Oryctolagus cuniculus: one gene and its partners. The protein of the gene in region 1 binds, or shares a complex with, the protein of each later gene. Links are inferred from orthologs where the notes say so. Each region holds a gene or a part of one and is shown in the gene's direction. Other genes may lie near its edges.

Region 1 (3,645 bases):
CACTTTATGAATACATGTGGTTATTTATTTATCCCTATTAAAATATTCATGCAATACGACAGTGTACTGGGTCCATCATAATTCAGCTCTTTTAAAACTTTTCTGTCTCCTTTTAGTTAGAAGAACCAGAAGAACCCAAAGTGCTAACACCAGAAGAACAATTAGCAGATAAACTGCGGCTAAAGAAATTACAGGAAGAGTCAGACCTTGAATTAGCAAAAGAAACTTTTGGTAAGTTGAGGGTGCAAAAAAAAATGATGAGGGTACAGATTAGTGCAGTATTAAACTGTTCCACATGGAAATTCCAGAAGTTTTACTAGTTACGAAGAAAAAAAAATTTTTTTTTTTTTAAGATTTATTTATTTATTAGAGAGGCAGAGGTAGAGAGACAGAAAGAAAAGTGTTCCATCTGCTGGTTCACTCCCCAGATGGCTGCAACGGCAGGAGCTGAGCCAATCCAAAGGTAGGAGCCAGAAGCTTCTTCCAGGTCTCCCATGTGGGTGCAGGGGCCCAAAGACTTGGGCCATCTTCTGCTTTCCCAGGCCATAGCAGAGAGCTAGATGGAAAGTGGAGCAGCCAGGATGGGATGCCAGCACTGCAGGCAGCAGCTTTACCTGCTATGCCACGGCACCGGCCCTGAAAACATCTACTTTTTTTTTTTTTTTTTTAAAGAAAACAGTAGTAGCTAATTTAGGTATTAGAAAGCAGTTTTTAATCTCTTTCTGTATGTTTGAGACTTCATTACTTGAGAAGGTAGAGTAGGGTATGTGTTCAGACTTTTGAATAATTGTTTTGAGTTTCAAAACAGATTAAGATAGAAAAAGTCGATGGACTCAAAGCACATTTTTTTTTCCTTAAGATTTATTTATTTGAAGGCCAGAATTAGAGGCAGAGAGAGAGAAAGACCAAGATCTTCCATATGCTGGTTCACTCCCCAAATGGCCACAATGGGGGGAGCCGGGCCAATCCAAAGCCAGGGATCAGGAGCTTCCTCTGGATCTCCCACGTGGTTGCAGAGGCCCAAGCACTTGGCCATCTTGTACTGCTTTCCTAGGCTATAGCAGAGAGCTGGATTGGAAGTGGAGCAGCCAGGACTCAAACCAGCACCCATATGGGATGCTGGCACTGCAGGCAGTGGCTTTACTTACTACACTACAGTGCCAGCCTCCACACTTCCTAATAGAATATATTCATCAGCTGAATGAGATTTGGATGAATTGCAAGGTTTGTGGCCTTGAATTTTTTTTTTTTTTTTTTTTTTTTTTGTGGCCTTGAAATTTAAATACTGAACTGACTGTAGGGCTCTCCTGTTGCCTTAAGAGACTTAGACCACAGCTAGGGCACTCAGTTTGGCTGTGTCTTGTGCTCAGGATGGTTTCTTTCTATGACCCTTTTGGCTCTCACCATGGCATATATCTTTAGAGGACCTCCATTTCTATATTGTACCTGCAGCAGTGGTTAGTGCATGAGATAAAAGAAACCTGTAGGTCCTATAAATAAATACATTCAGAATGCTCCAGGGGGGAGAGTTCCATGGCACAGAAGGTAGACATGGCCCGAGCTGAACAAAAGTTTATTGACGTTGTTACTTACTGAATGCTTTTCAGAGAAGTTTGTAAAGTTTTTGAAAGATTTATTTATTTGTTTGAAAGGCAGAGTTAGAGGGAGACAGAGAGATGGATGGATGGACCTTCCATCTGCTTGTTCATTCCCCAGATGGCTGCAGTGGCCAAGGCTGGGCCGGGCTCAAACAAGGAGCTTCTTCGGGGTCTCCAAAATGAATGCAGGGGCCCAAGCACTTGAGCCGTCTTCCACTGCTTTCCCAGGTGCATTAGTAGGGAGCAGCCGGGACTCTAATCGTTGCTCATTCAGGATGCCAGTGTTATAGATGATGTTAACCCACTGCACCACAATGCTAGCCCCAGAATAGAATATTGCTGAAATTAAAAACCTTGAGGGGCCGGTGCTGTGGCACAGCGGGTTAAAGCCCTGGCCTGAGTGCTGGCATCCTCTATAGGTACCAGTTTGAGACCTGGCTGCCCCACTTCCAATCCAGCTCTCTGCTATGGCCTGGGAAAGCAGTAGAAGATGGCCCAAGTGTTTGGGCCCCTGCACCTGCATAGGAGACCTGGAAGAAGCTCCAGGCTCCTGGCTTTGGATGAGCACAGTGCCAGCTGTTGCAGCCATCTGGGGAGTGAACCATCAGATGGAGGACCTCTCTCTTTGTCTCTCTGTGTAACTCTTTCAAATAAATAAATAAATCTTTAAAAAAAAATCCTTGAAATTGAAGTCTATATAAGAAAGATCTGCTTATTCTTTCTCCCCTATCCTTTGTCTTATCTAAAATGGATCAAGCAGGCTGACTGTTGTGATTGTTCCGTTTTTATGATTTATTTATTTGAAAGGCAGTGTTAGAGAAAAGGATAGAGAAAGAGATCTTTGATCTGTTGGTTCACTCCCTAAATGGCCGCAATGGCTGGAGCTGGGCTGTTCCACAGCCAGGAGCCAGAAGCTTCTTCTGAGTCTCCCGTCAGTGGGGCTTTAGCAACCTCAAGCGTTGTGGATGCTCCTGTGTACCAGCGTATGCTTGGCAGGTCTTCAGTGTGTTCATCTAATTCTAGAGGGCACTCAGCCATTATGTGTTTTTATAGGATGGTGAGAACTGCCCTTAAAGAGGTAGGTTTATGCAGTGTACAGAAAACTTAAGTGTGAGACATCAGCTTCAGATTAAAAGGTAAAATCAATATACACTCATTGTCTTTGGCTTACCGGATTCTACTGTTCATTCTCTCATACTGAAATTCTGAATCTGTGGTATTAACAACAACTAATTTTCTAGGTACTGAGAAGGATGGAAAGCATACTTATCCCCGAGACTGAAATTCTTTTAGGTAGATTAATTTTTCTATTGGTATTTACCACATGGTTTGCCCCTGCTTAGCTTCTACATTTATTAAAATGTCTTGGAATTTATTTTCATTTTATTTGATAGGCAGACAAGGAGACAGATCTTCTATCTGCTAGTTTACTCTCCAAATGCCAGCAATAGCCAGAGCGGGGGCAGGTTGAAGCCAGGAGACTGAAGCTCAGTATGCATTTCTCATTTGGGTGGCAGGTACCCCTGTACTTGAGCCATTACCTGCCGCCTCCCAGGATGCATGTTCACAGGAAGCTTGGTTGGAAGTGTGCCAGAACCAGGCATGCCAGTATGGGCTATGGGTGTCCCAAAGGAACCTTAACGGCTGAGCTTCTGGATTTAGTGAACTGAATATTTTTACAGAATCCATCTTTGTTTCCTATGCCTTATTCCCTTGTCTCCCCAATTTATTGTGGGTTATTCTTGGATAGCCTTTTCATGAGAGCATCCTTTTCATGATATGGATGCCTTTAGCAGCTGATAAAACCTGTGGACCTCTTCCTAAAATACATATTTTAATTAAAAATTTTTCCTTTATATTTGCATGGCAGTAGGAGATCTTCCATCTGCTGATTCATTCCCAAATGCCTATAACAGCTGAGTCTGCATCAGGCCAAGGCCAGGAACCAGGAACTCAGTGTTTATCTCCATGTGGGTGGCAGGAATCCCAAGCACTTGAACCTGTTGCCTTTTCAGGATTCACAGTAGCAGAAAACTAGATTAGAAGT
Region 2 (3,745 bases), on another chromosome or scaffold:
ACTTTTGACCTTACAAAAAGACACCCCTTAGGGGAAAGCTAGCACTCTGCACCCCAATTTCCATTGACTGCCTATTGGCCCATCTGACTCCTCACAGCTGCAACTGCTGGAGCTGGGCCAGTCCAAAGCCAGACAGGAGCTTCTTCTGGGTTTCCTTCATGGGTGCAGGGGCCCAACGGCTTGGGCCATCCTCTGCCGCTTTCCCAAGCTCGTTAGCAGAGAGCTGGATCCAAAGTGGAGCAGCCAGGACTGGAGGTGGTAGCCATACGGGATGTTGGCACCTCAGGCAGCGGATTTTACTCACTTTGCCACAGCACGGGCCCCAAGCCTTGTCCACCTTTGCCATGTCTTCACAGTTTCCCTTCTCTCTCTCTTTTTTTTTTTAAGATTTATTTATTTATTTGAAAGTCAGAGTTACACAGAGAGAGAAGAGGCAGAGAGAGAGAGAGAGGTCTTCCATCCACTGGTTCACTCCCCAGTTGGCCGCAACAGCCGGAGCTGCACCAATCTGAAGCCAGGAACCAGGAGCTTCCTCCAGGCCTCCCACGTGGGTGCAGGGGCCCAAGGACTTGGGCCATCCCCCACTGCTTTCCCAGGCCACAGCAGAGAGCTGGTTTGCAAGTGGAGCAGCCAGGTGCTTCAGGCCAGGGCGTTAACCCACTGTGCTACAGCGCAGCCCTCCCCCCCACCCCTTTTTTTTTAGTTTCCCTTCTCTTAAGGAGACATGGTCTTCCATTTCCCTGAGCACTTACAACATGTGATGACATTTTACCTCGAGGCTTCTTAGCATCTCCTCTGCCCCTATTTATTTATTTTTCCTCAGCGAGTCACAGAGTCCCTCAGTGCCAGTCCTGCTCTCACTTGCCATCGTGCTGTTCTCTATGGAGCTCAATGTACTGCAATCAGGCAATCGGCTTATTGAATTAATTAACTTACTGGCACTTTAAGACACTGTCAAAACCAAAGTCCTTTTAAATTTTTCATTTATTTTTATTGTATTTGAAAGGCATACGAAGACAGAACTTCCACCCTCTGGTTCACTCCAAAATTCTCACAACAGTCAGGCCTCAGCTCGGCAGAAGCCAGGAGCACAAAACTTCATCCTGATCTCCCACGTGGGTAGCAAGGACCTAGAACTACTACATCTGCCACCTTCAGAGGAAGCAAGAAGGGAGCGAGACTCGGACCCGTTCTCCTATGTGGGCTGTGGGCTGTAAGCAATGAGAAGCGACGTCTTGTCTGTCTGACCAAACGCCTGCTCCAAAAACCTCTTAAAATGTACTTTGGGCAACCACCATCCCATGTAAGTCTAAACACAAATTGCGGCCTTTGCGCTGCTCACTAGCTCCACCTGGCGGCAACGCCGAAGGTTGCATTTAATTTCTCTCCGAACGCCGACTCAGAATGATTCGGAACTTTTTACCCCGGGTCTCACTCAGTGCGCGCCGAACCGGAAGCAAAGAGCACAAACTCCGGAAGAAATTACAAGCACCAGCACCTATTAGCGTCCCGAAAAGTGTCATCAATAACCAATAGGCACCAAGGAGTAGTTCACGTGATGTATATTCAGCCTATGGAACGGCTAGTACTCAACAACTCTTTCCCTAGCGCTCATGCTCCTTCTTTCTCGACAAGATGGCCACCCCAGCAGTCTCCGCGAGTGCGCCTCCTGCCACTCCAGCCGCAACCCCGGCTGCAGCTGCCGCTCCAGCCTCCGCCCCGGCCGCGGCGCCAGCGCCAACGCCGGCTCCAGCGCCGGCTGCAGCTCCTGCCGCGGGAGCGGCTCCGGCCGCAGCCGCAGACCCTGCGGCGGCGGCGGCGGCTGCGGGTACGGGCCAGACCCCGGCCTCCGCACAAGCCCCCGCGCAGACCTCGGCGCCCTCGCTGCCTGGTCCCGCGCTGCCAGGGCCCTTCCCCGGCGGCCGCGTGGTCAGGCTGCACCCGGTCATTTTGGCCTCCATCGTAGACAGTTACGAGAGACGCAACGAAGGCGCTGCCCGAGTGATCGGGACCCTGCTGGGTGAGTGCTCAGAGGAAATCGTTCCTGTCCCCGTCACCTCTTGTGTCTGTCGCTCGCGGATCGCCTCCCTTCAGTCTGGCGTCCCTCTTCCCTCTGCTCCCGTCACCGTCGACCCCTCACTGCTTCTCCGCCCCCAGGGGGCTTGACCGCCTCCTCCCCCTCTTGCCGGTGGTACCCGCTTGGAACGACATGTGAAATACAGTAGTTGCCGTGTATTGCATAGACATCATTTTTAACCTTAACGCATCAGGTGTCATTCTCCCCACTCCGCCTAAAAATGAGCTCGGTGCCGGGTATGAGATCGAGAACGCTTGACTCCCTAACCGGATGGCCCCGTATTTGTCTCCTAACCACGGGCCAGATGTCTTTGTTTTTCAGGAGTTTGCAACGAGTTTTCTAACCGTTTGTTAAAGGAATAGGAGTTCTGTGAAAATATTTCTCTTCCAACAAGTAAACTACTTTTGCTGGAGCCCACTTAGGAATAAGATTTTGCTTTTCTGAGCCTGATCCTCTAGCCCTCAGTCTCCCGGAAGACTGGTTCCTAGTTTGAGAAATCTTATTCCTCAGTGCTGTCTCTAATTTTGCATTTAAGTAGTCATTCCCTGCCTGTATTCCCAATTGGAGGAGTAGGTATTTTTTGTTAAAGTGAGTTTGTAAGACGGAAAAGCCTTAACAAGGGATTGTTGATAATAAATGTCTTTTCCCCAGGGGCCACTGGTCCCATCCAGTTCATTTCCACTCTGTAATGGGTTTGCTGCACTGCTGTGAATTTACTTCACATGCATCATTTCTTATTCTTACCCTTCACCATGTAATGCTCCTCACACTGTACAATACAGTTGGTGTATTACAAAGAGGATAAGATTTGTAGGCAAACTCTACCAAATATTACCCATGTGCCTTGGAGAAAATTACCTAATTTAATTCCTTTTTGAAGAACCAAATTATTCTAAATTATCTAACTTTGCTGGCACACCATTACACACAGCCGTTTGCATCCACTATGTCGGTTCCACACCGCCCCTAAAACACACATTCTGAATGTATCTTTGATGGTATAGCGTTTTACAGAAACCTAAATTGATTCATTCATTATCTTCTAAACATGGCCATTTCTTAAGTTATTTAAGGAAATGATTCTCTACCCAAGGCTTATGCTTAGTGGCCCACATGTTAGAGTAACCACCTTCAGACTGGCTGTAATCTCGATCCTCAGATCCTCAGCAGACTGGGCTCAGGGTCCAGGGCTCCCCATGTGATAGAGGCAGAGCTTAGAAGAATGAAGCAGCCAGTGCCACGGCTCACTTGGCTAATCCTTCACCTGCAGCGCCAGCACCCTGGGTTCTAGTCCCTGCTGGGGCTCCGGATTCTGTCCTGGTTGCTCCTCTTCCAGTCCAGCTCTCTGCTGTGGCCCGGGAGTGCAGTGGTGGATGGCCCAAGTGCTTGGGCCCTGCACCCCATGGGAGACCAGGAGAAGCACCTGGCTCCTGGCTTCGGATCAGCGCAGCACGCCGGTCTTAGCAGCCATTTGGGGGGTGAACCAACGGAAGGAAGACCTTTCTGTCTCTCTCTCACTGTCTAACTCTGCCTGTCATGAAGCATAGATTTTTTTCAGTGGGAACTTAACAGTTTTCTCAGACATTGGAACATGAAATGTAATCTACTGTAACCTTAAGCTGAAGATAGAAACACACATGAATACAGTGTGTAAGTGCTCTAATAGAA
Region 3 (3,745 bases), on another chromosome or scaffold:
CCATCCCCCTAAAAGTTAACGCTCATTCTCACGCTCCTCTCCCTACAGCCCGCGGCAGCCCCCTGGTTCCTCCACTGCCTTCACGGGCCATAGCAGAGAGCGGGATCGGAAGTGGAGCAGCCGGGGCTCGAACCGGCGCCCACCTGGGATGCCGGCGCGGCAGACCAGGGCGTTGACCCGCTGCGCCACAGCGCCGGCCCCAAGCCCCTGGTTCCTAAAGAAGACGACGGGAACACGCCCAAGAGCGGCAGCCTCCGAGGCCGGCGACTCGGGACCTTCGCACGGCCTCCCCGCCGCCGCGTCGCTCCGCCCGCGCCCACGTGACCCGCGCTCTCCCGCCTCCGCCGGGCCGAACCACTGCGGCCGCGGGCGGGGGGGGGGCGGCGACCGGCGGCTTGGCCAGCGGCACGGCGGGGCCGGGCAGGCGATTAAAGCAGCTGCCGGACGCTTCTGTGTTGCGCCCGGCAGTCGTCTTTCCAGAAGCGCCGGCCACCTCTGGCTCGCCGTGGGCTCCCTGAGTATTTCGGAGTGGCCGGCTCTGCTGTCCAGTCAGTGGACGAGTCTAAAAAGCCGATTCGTAAAGGGGGAGTTCAGTGATGGAAGCTGAACGGTTTGTCTGGTCAAAGACTGAGACGGCCTCAGCATCACTGCTTGATGAGCTGACAGTCTCCCACGGTGTTCATTTTCCAGTTCAGAGTCTGTCTTGATCCATGCCGCGGTCGGCCCCGCAGGTAGTTCAGTCCATCGCGTAGCGCCCGACGGGAGAAGGCAGGGAGCGGCTGCCATATTGGACGTGACCATTCGCTACGACAAATGGGGGGAGTAGCAGCTCCCAATGGGTTTATAGGTTGCCGAAACGACTTTGGTCTTTGCAGCTGAGCATCTTTCAGTCACAGCCACATCGGCGCCATTCATTCTAGACGCACTTCTGCGGATTCGGTGTCTTCCGGACTCGGCGAGGCGAATCGGGGCGTTGTGCTCGCCCCCCCCGGCCCCGGTGCTTTGGTGCGGCCTCCCGGGCGCACGCACGTGGCTCGGCGCTCGCCGGCGCGGCGCGCGGGGCGGCCTGGGAGTGTCGGCGGCGCGGCGGCGGCGGAGCTCGTGAGGCGCGGCGTCGGGCTCATGCAGGACGCGGAGAACGTGGCGCTGCCGGAGGCGGCCGAGGAGCGGGCCGAGCCCGGGCAGCAGCAGCAGCAGCAGCCGGGGGCTGAGCCGCCGCCCGAGGAGGAGCCGCCGCGGCCCGCGGGGGCCGAGGACGCCGCCGCGGAAGCGGCCGCGGAGGCCGGGCCGGAGCCCGACGTGAGGGCCGAGCCGGCCGAGGCGCAGGAGGCCGCGTCCAGCCCGGCCGAGCCCCCCGCAACGCTCCCCGCCGAGCAGGGCGAGGCCCCGCGGGAGCAGGCCCGGGACGAGCCGGCCCCGGCGTCCGAGGCGGAGGGCAGCGCGGCCGAGGCCGAGCCGCGGGCGGTGGAGAACGGCGACGCGGACGAGCCGTCGTTCAGCGACCCCGAGGACTTCGTGGACGACGTGAGCGAGGAAGGTGAGGGGTCGCCGGCGGCCTGCGGGCGCTCCGGCCAGGGCCGGGGGGCCCGGAAGTGCCCGCCTCCCGGCGAGCCCCGGCCGGCCCGCCGCGGCTTCCGATCCGGACGGCCCGGGTGCCCGCCCTGGCCCTCGCGCCCCTGGGCCCTCGCGCGGCCTCCGGGGGTGCCGAGCTGGGTGGGTGGGCTTCCGGCCGCGGAGCAGGTGGGAGCGCCGGCCGGGGCGGCTGGAAGCGGCTGTTCCGGCCGCGGTACCAGCAGAAACAGGGCTTCCGGCCGCTCTCCCGCCCCCAGTGCCTGAAAGCCGGGCCGGGCCGGGCCGGGCGCTGCGTCCTGGCCTCCGAGATGCGCGCAGGGCCCACGCGCGGGGCTCAGCTCCGCGGCCTCCCGGGCGGGATGCGGGGCTCCGGCTGGCAGCGCCGAGGGGCGGCCCCGAGAGCCCCGAGCCGACGCGGTGTGAAGGCACAGCCGGTGTTGCTGCCCTCCTGCCTGGGCCAGCGTTGGTTTGTAACCTGCGTTCTTTCTAGCGCAGCGATTTTTCTCATTTTAAAATTCAAGGTTTGGGTTTAAAGCTCATTTTGACCCTTGGGTGTTCGCATGGGAAGAGCCCATGTAATGGTCAGGGGGTTCTGCCCCGAGGGGGTGCGGGGCAGTCAGGAGCCGTACCGGGGCGCCTGCGTGGCCCCGAGGTGCGCGCGTTCCACGGAGGGCGTGGCCGCTCCCGCGCTGTGGGTCCGGGTGAAGGGCCGCCCGGCGGGGTCTTTGCCGCAGTGGGCCGAGTGCGGGGCCGGCTCGGGCGCTCGCGCCGCGCGGTGCCTCTGCTGTCAGCCTCACCCGCATCCCGCGTGGGCACCGGGTTGGGTCCTGGCTGTTCCATTTCCTGTCCGATTCCCCGCCGATGGCCTGGGAAAAGCAGCGGAAGGTGGTCCGAGCGCTGGGCCCTGCACCCACGTGGGAGACGGGGAGAAACTCCTGGCTTCCGCGCGGCCGGCCCTGGCTGTGCTGCCCCAGGGAGTGCGCAGCGGATGGAGGACCTCCCGCTCGCTGACTTTCAAACACACACATCTGTAAACCTCGTTTAAGCGTCAGACGTTGCTTCGGGTCTGGCTCCCGAAGCATTGCTGGTGGTTTTGCGACTTGTCTCTGCTGCTCCTGGGCCAGGCTGGGAATCCCCGAGCCGGGAGTGACCCCTGCTGGGCCGGCGTGCGATTGAGTGAATTCGTTGGTCCTTCCCGGGCCTGGGCAGATCCTTGCCGCCTGGTTGCACTGAGCACCTGCGGGACGGCTGCTGGCTCTCTGTTGTAAACCTTGTAAATTCGGATCAGGCTCGGCAGGGTTTGCTTGGACGCTGAGCGTGTTTTACAAGTGACCCGAGCGGCCTGGTGCCTGCAGCGAGGGTGCCTCTCTGCTTGGTCTCAGTTTTGGCTCTTCTTGAAAGGCAGAGAAATACAAAAACTTTCGTCTGCCAGTTCACTCCACAAATACCCAAAGTAGCGGGGGCTCAACCGGGACTGGGCTAGGGCGTAGCCAGGACTGGAACTCAGTGCAGGTCCCCTGGGTGGGTGGCAGGGATCCCGCCTCCTGGGCCGGCGCTGCCCCCCCCCCCCCCCCCCCGGGACGCACACGAGCAGAAAGCTGGAATCGGAAGCAGAGCCAGGACTTGAACCCAGGCGCTCTGACGTGGGGTGCGGCTTTCCAAGCTGTGTCTCGCCCGTCCCAGTCTTGGCGTCTTGGAAATTCAGTCTGCAGGGGCCAGTGCTGCGGGCGCAGCAGGTTAAGCCTCTGCTTGTGGCACCAGCGCCCTTGAGTCCCGGCCGCTCCACTTCCCATCCAGCTCTCTGCTGTGGCCTGGGAAAGCAGTGGAGGACGGCCCAAGTGCTTGGGCCCTGCACCCGCATGGGAGACCCGGAAGAAGCTCCTGGTTTCCGGCTCTGGATCGGCGCAGCTCCAGGCCTTGTCGCCATTTGCAATGAGCCAGCGGATGGAAGGCCTTCTTGCTCGCTCGCTCTCATTTTGCCTGTTGAATACATAAAACCTTTAAAAGAAATTCAATTTATAGTTTTTTAAGGTGATATTTTTACTGTCATTCGTAAAAGTGTTGGTGTTAATTAGAAATGGTTTATGATGGCCCTTTCCTTGGAATTAGAAGATCTTCCTCCTCTGGAAAGACCTTCATATGTTTTACTATGAAAATTTCAAACCTATACTCC

The links.
Region 2: EIF3J (region 1) and EIF3F share a complex: the UniProt entries of both Homo sapiens proteins name them as parts of the eukaryotic translation initiation factor 3 (eIF-3) complex. The link is inferred for Oryctolagus cuniculus from reciprocal best matches to the Homo sapiens genes EIF3J and EIF3F.
Region 3: the proteins of EIF3J (region 1) and EIF3B are in contact, whole or in part, in an NMR structure (PDB 2KRB), measured with the Homo sapiens proteins. The link is inferred for Oryctolagus cuniculus from reciprocal best matches to the Homo sapiens genes EIF3J and EIF3B. Residues at the interface, in NP_003749.2 of Homo sapiens: Asp45, Glu46, Asp50, Asn51, Trp52, Asp53, Asp54, Asp55; in NP_001032360.1 of Homo sapiens: Lys202, Asn205, Val206, Ile207, Lys209, Ile210, Lys213, Asn249, Ala250, Asp251, Gly252, Tyr253, Lys254, Leu255, Phe261.

The regions. Positions count from the first base shown.
Region 1 is NC_091443.1:67,490,291-67,493,935, forward strand, and holds part of EIF3J (eukaryotic translation initiation factor 3 subunit J), read left to right. Parts: intron 1-116; coding exon 117-231; intron 232-3,645. UniProt on the Homo sapiens protein: Component of the eukaryotic translation initiation factor 3 (eIF-3) complex, which is required for several steps in the initiation of protein synthesis.
Region 2 is NC_091432.1:58,227,033-58,230,777, reverse strand, and holds the start of EIF3F (eukaryotic translation initiation factor 3 subunit F), read left to right. Parts: upstream 1-1,616; 5' UTR 1,617-1,635; coding exon 1,636-2,020; intron 2,021-3,745. UniProt on the Homo sapiens protein: Component of the eukaryotic translation initiation factor 3 (eIF-3) complex, which is required for several steps in the initiation of protein synthesis.
Region 3 is NC_091450.1:37,175,503-37,179,247, forward strand, and holds the start of EIF3B (eukaryotic translation initiation factor 3 subunit B), read left to right. Parts: upstream 1-1,047; 5' UTR 1,048-1,122; coding exon 1,123-1,537; intron 1,538-3,745.